Bombyx mori: one gene and its partner. The main gene of each other region encodes a partner of the protein of the gene in region 2 in a complex. Links are inferred from orthologs where the notes say so. Each region holds a gene or a part of one and is shown on either strand. Other genes may lie near its edges.

Region 1 (2,271 bases), on a different chromosome or scaffold from region 2:
AATTATACAAGGAAATAAATAAACAATACTACACTACATAATAACAACATTCAAGTATGCTATTTCCTGATTTTTATACTTATTTACATATAAAAAAAAGATTAATTCATCAGAGATTAATGGAACTATTAAATCAGAACCAAAACAGGTAACAGCTAAAACCAAGGATATCATACAAACAAAACATGTAAGCCAAGACTTGAATATAATTAATTTCACATTAGCAATACAAGGAAGTGAAAATTATAATAATTATCATTTATTTCTGATTTTCATTATAATAAAATTTACAGATAAGTCATTGTGTTAGAGTATTATGTTGTCAGAACTCCCATATCATTATTAATAATGTCAAGTACAACAAACCTTGAGCTGGTACAAGGTGACCCAGAATAAGTGAAATGTCAACATTTAATTTAATACAGGAATAAACTTCCGAGCTCGCTCCAAATTTGTATGCATTCAAAGTTGAAAAACTTGTATGTCATGCACTAGCCTCTAGTACATGAATAAAAAGCACGACGCGGCCCAAGGCAAACTGGCGCCGAGGAAACACACAAGTGGATATTCAAGGTGCTTCCTGCATGTCCGGAAAGAGAAGGTCGCAACATGCATAGAATGCACGCCGGCCAAACCTACTGTTCAGAACAAAACAACTAAAGTGAAGGTCTCATAAACGTAGCACGACGCCCGACATTTGTCAACGTGAAACACACCCCACTAATATTAGAAAAAATTATGTTTCCTATATATGTCACGACTAAGGCAAAAGCACCCCAAACGAATAAACAATAAAAACTTACCTTTGCAGGCAGAAATCAAATAATATCCGTCTTTTGTAACGTCACTAAAATCCAAATGCACGACTGGTCTCGTGTGGCCACCGCATGTAAGAGGAACTTGTTTAAGCGTTGTCATTTTGTTAAATTAATTTTGATTGTTGTACTTTGGAAAAATAAAACTAAATTATCTTTTTGTAAAACTAAAATTAACCTAATGAGTCTGATCGTACTGAATGTTGACAATCGACTGACGGAAAGGAAAAAGCAGTATTACTAGAAAATATCTTAAAACTACTATCAACATAGCTTTGTTGCAAGCCATCTAAATTTTAAGATATGGCTAAAAGTTTTTTGATAAAATAAAATTTAGGAAGAACAAAAAAAATATTGGCTAATAAAAAGAAACGTTTAGAAATCAGTTTTATAATACTGGTAATATCTTTTATGACGACGTCAATTTAGTATTGACGTGTCTATTGCTTGACGTTTAATGTCAGACCGTTTAATTGGTTACTTCTGATAAGTTTCTTCAAAATAATTTGTTGTTGTGGCAAGTGATATTAATCTAATTTAGCAAGATGGATTTCTTTACATCTATACCAACCCACATAGATTACGTCGGACAAGCAAAAGCAGAGAAATTATACAGGGCAATAATTACATTGTTCAGTATAGTTGGTTTTGTATGGGGTTATATAGTTCAGCAATTCTCGCAGTCAGTGTATATTCTTGGTGCTGGATTTCTGCTTGCTGCCATTCTTACTGTTCCTCCATGGCCAATGTACCGACGCAATCCTCTGAACTGGCAGGTTCCTAAGAACGGTGATGACAAACCAGCAGCCAAGAAAGGAAAGAAGTGAAATTCATTATCTCAAAATTTGTCTGTACAACTTTTACTTCTCAAATATATCCAATAGTTAATAAGTTTTAATTTTGTTTTATTTACATAACTGTCAATCTTAGTTTACACACACTTAAACGCACTATTATAAAATATGTACCAAATTAATCTTTTGAACTTTTAAACTAGCTAAGAAATATATGCACGTACTACAAAAATAAACTCTTACTATTAAGGACAAATGTTTTAAAATGAAACTATTATTAGTTACTTAGATAGATGTGCTCACAGTCCAACTAGTGTGAAGTGGTTATGAGGCCCATAGGCATGAACAACATAAATTATGTCATACTTGAAACATGAGGTCTAAATGTTAGTGCTATAGAGCAATGGCTGCCTGATCCTTCAAATTAAAACACATTACTGCTTTACAGCAGAAATAAGGTTGTAGGAACTACCTATGTGGGCTAACAAGATGCCTTAACACCAATAATTACAAAAATTATCATTTTTACAGGTTCGGTTTGTATTTCCTTATTAGTATTTCAGTGTTGATGTCAATGTTATGAACAATGATAGGTATGAATATCCAAATTGGTACCTTAATGAAAGAAAACATTTTCTGTTTAAATCACATATATTCCTTAT
Region 2 (4,079 bases):
TGAACTACAGTGCCGTTCACGTCGATGAAGTTGGCAAACGACTTGGTCACGGATGCCTCACGAGTGTTGCCATTCGTGTCTCGCATAACAATTACGAGATTGTATTTATCGTCGTGTCTACAAAATTAAAATAATTACATTAAAGTACAAGTAAAATTTGGATACAACTTTGATAATCGCAGCAGTTACATTAGACAATTATTATTAATTAATTTTATTAGAATTTGTGCATGCACCTACTCTCTAATTTACTCTTTTATGTAAGCAAATCCTCTAAGCCAACCATCTGATAAAATTAAAGGCCTAAATATAACTTTCATAGATTTTTCACAAGTAACAATTCTGCTACAACACAATTCTATCTCAAACTAATATTAGTATTGTTTATACATGTTTGTACAGATATAGTGGGTATCTTATAATCAGAGCTACACTAGCTTGCTGCAGGCAAGTTCAAACTTGTAGCCTAAGCTTTCTTTTAAATTTCAGCTAATGTTAGCCATGGGCGACGATAACCACTCACCATCAGGTGAGCCGTATGCTTGTCTGCCTAAAAAAATTTTTCCTACCTACCCTCTGGTAGCCTAAGTGGCCATTCCAGCTTAGCCTGGAAAAAATTGCATAAAAACACAGACAAAGGCAGACATCTAATTTATTTAATATTATTAAGAGATCTGGGTAGATTCAACAACTTGGTGTTCGGTGTAAGCTGAAAATTGTTATTGCAATAACTTTAATTCTAGTCCTTTAAATATGAGGTAGAAGTCCCCATTGTTTCTTACATCTTTGTTAATTTAAACATATTGCAAGGTTGATTTCATACAATTTTGTATCAATTCAAGGTATAATTACAAGATCACACTTGCTACTGTACGTAACAAATGTAGGCCATTACTTGCTGGTCATAAATGTACTGTTTTTTTTTTAATTTATTTTTTATTGCTTAGATGGGTGACGAGCTCACAGCCCACCTGGTGTTAAGTGGTTACTGGAGCCCATAGACATCTACAATTTAAATGCGCCACCCAACTTGAGATATAAGTTCTAAGGCCTCAGTATAGTTACAATGACTACCCCATCCTTCAAACCGAAAAGCATTACTGCTTCACGGCAGAAATAGGCGGGGTGGTGCTACCTACCCGTACAGACTTACAAGAGGTCCTACCACCAGTGAAACCACCACTGTGCTTCATTTTAAATTTAAGTCACCTGTAAAATCCAATGATTTTATTACAATATAGGATATACTCAAGTAGTAGGAAGTAGACTTACTTCTTTACATAAGAACTGGCTTCCCAGACCCTGGTGTTATTTCCAACCTTCTCCTTGGCTACCACAAAGATGCCCTTCTCTTTGAATGTAGTGTAGAGGGTCAAAATACCCATCAGTATGAAATATGATGACACACAGATGATTAGAACCAGTCTGTAAATAGTGGTAATTTTTTTTATCAACTTATTTAGATCTTCACTCTCTACAGACTCTACTCTGGACCGATACAGTTAGCAGAACTAAAAGAGTACAATGTGAATGCAGCTGTTGTTGCAATATGAAGTAGATGTTTTAACTATTGAGAGTAGTATTGATTATCTAGACCTTCACACCAGACTTAGGGAAGGCAATGAGGCACTTATACTAATACGGTGTATAAATGGAGCATAGCACCTTCTTCTGATTAATGTTCCGGTTTTTAAGACATAAAATTCTCATAACTCTTATAAGTTACTAATGAGTTCAAAGTTGAGTACAATTTAGTATAGACAAATTCTATGAGTAACCGTTGGCATTTCAAAAGAAATAAAATTAAAATTCAACTATACAATAACAGTCAAATACATTAGTGGTTTTTTACCTTGATTGAGGGAATGGATAAAGATAATCCCATAGCAGTGCGTAAAGGGCCACACCAACAGCCAGAGCACAGAGGAACAGTCTACCGTCAATTAGAGCAAAGCTTTCCTTGCATTTTAAGTCTCCAGTCATTACCTAAAAAATTTTTTTATAGACTTAATTAATTCCTACGCACAAACACAAACTATACTGAGACCTTAGAACTTATATCTCAAGGTGGGTGGCGCATTAACGTTGTAGATGTCTATGGGCTCCGGTAACCACTTAACACCAGGTGGGATGTGAGCTCGCCACCCATAAGCAATAAAAAAAATATTGTTACAATGCTTAGTTTTATATTCAAATGAACATTATGTTTTTTTTTCTCTCCCATTTCTTGGCCTGCACGGTTTGTGCGTCAGCCATGAACATTATGTTACTAAATGTTCAATGGACAAAATTTTAATAAGCAAAACTATGTATTACCTCTCTAATAGCATCATCAACAGCATTTTTTGCTGCAGCACCATCCCATTTGTTGATCTTTGCAGCCTGAAATTATAGTTTTTTCTATAAATTTCCAAGTTATAGTCGTCTTAAATCTTACTTTTTTGACACGGGTGTTCCAAACTACCCCTTCTCGAAGGGGTAAACCATGAATATGGGTATCATAACAGTACATAGTAGTATCAGTACATCAGTAGAGTAATAAGATTTTAGTAACTTTAAAGCCAGTCATTTTCTAGTAAAATAAGTAGAATAAAATTAAAAGTAAATAGATTTTAAAGTGACGTGTCCTAACACCACGCACAGTTGGCAAGAAAACTAAAGGTGCCGAGATCTTTAAAGTAAACGTTAAAATACCTCCGCCGTTTCAGACATGTTGTATATATTAAAATAACTTATTTAGCGTTGTTTTATAAATTTTAAGTTCAGATTTCAGTTAATTTTTCCAGGACAAACTTAATTTTAATTTTCGATACTTTTGACAGATACTTGGCAGCTAAGAGTGTATTATCCATAGATTATACACTTAATATATTTGAGAGTATTATCTATGTTAAATGCTTAGTAGCATAGACCATTTTGTTTGATTCTTCATTGAAACCGCAAAGGGAACGTTATTCATACAATATATTTTTAAATACAAATACCCAAGTCACGTATTTTGTCCGTAAGTGATTTAGAATTAAAATAGGAGAGATAGACAATACTGCAGGTCTTGGACGTGATTAAATAAAACGTTGAGAATTTACTAAGGGGTTCAGTGGGCGTATTAGAACAACCCAAAAAGCCACATCCAGCGATTTGATTTAATTATTTCGCATTTATGCACAACATACTCAACGGTTTATAAAATTAATAAATCACCGTTATTGCAAATTACTAACATAAATCATCACCAATTTCAATTTGGATTATTTGGCGGAAACGTGATTTTTCAATATGCAGTTTTTTTTTTCAGATCAAAGAGTAAGTAATAATATAGTGAAAAGGTTTAGTATTCCTAAAAGTTTACAAGTACATAGAAATAGAATAATATCTCTAAAAATGACTCCTTCAAACTTTTCTTTTATAGAAACGATTGTCTAGAAGACATGTTAAAAAAACTGAAAGCGGGTAAAACGTCAAGTGACCAGTGGCCGTAAACAAATGATTAAAAAACAAATTGAAGTTGAAAATTGAAATGGATTGAAATTGAAATGAATTCCGACATAACGAAATACATAAATGACTGTATGCGGTTTTCTTGACAAATAAGGAATCATCCATCATAAGTTAAAAAAGACTAGTTTGGTCGCTTATTGGTCAAAGTTTTGTTACTGTTTTAAACTGACAAAATACGACTATTCGTTCAGTGACAAATGTAAGGAATACTAGTTGTTCCAAAAAGTGATGGTATGTAAGAACAAAATTGTTCCTTAGTACCTTTTCCTTAGTACCGATGGATAAACTTTGCTGATTTGCAGAAAATATTTAAATTACGTTATTAAATCATAAAACATTAGATATCATATAATTTTCATATTATAACACATGTGGCATTGACAGCATCAACAATGAACGAAAGAGGTCATAATATGTAAGCCCCACCATGTTATTACTGTTGTCAAAATATGTAATGTAATTTTGTAGGTTGTTTGTTGCTGCCTCCGAGTAGAAGAGCAATGGCGAAGCGAAAGAAGGCTGCGACAAGGACTGTCGCGACGAGGCGCACTAGTCGGCGCGGGAAACAGACGAGTAGTGTC

Evidence for each region.
Region 1: signal peptidase complex subunit 2 (region 2) and signal peptidase complex subunit 1 share a complex: the UniProt entries of both Drosophila melanogaster proteins name them as parts of the signal peptidase complex. The link is inferred for Bombyx mori from reciprocal best matches to the Drosophila melanogaster genes Spase25 and Spase12.

Annotation. Positions count from the first base shown.
Region 1 is NC_085123.1:9,320,441-9,322,711, reverse strand, and holds signal peptidase complex subunit 1, read left to right. Parts: upstream 1-1,249; 5' UTR 1,250-1,360; coding exon 1,361-1,642; 3' UTR 1,643-1,713; downstream 1,714-2,271. Other genes in the region: serine-threonine kinase receptor-associated protein, read right to left, coding at 804-918. UniProt on the Drosophila melanogaster protein: Component of the signal peptidase complex (SPC) which catalyzes the cleavage of N-terminal signal sequences from nascent proteins as they are translocated into the lumen of the endoplasmic reticulum.
Region 2 is NC_085110.1:14,727,767-14,731,845, reverse strand, and holds the start of signal peptidase complex subunit 2, read right to left. Parts: upstream 2,831-4,079; 5' UTR 2,713-2,830; coding exon 2,695-2,712; intron 2,383-2,694; coding exon 2,317-2,382; intron 1,987-2,316; coding exon 1,853-1,986; intron 1,426-1,852; coding exon 1,273-1,425; intron 118-1,272; coding exon 1-117. Other genes in the region: histone-lysine N-methyltransferase SETD2, read left to right, coding at 3,999-4,079. UniProt on the Drosophila melanogaster protein: Component of the signal peptidase complex (SPC) which catalyzes the cleavage of N-terminal signal sequences from nascent proteins as they are translocated into the lumen of the endoplasmic reticulum.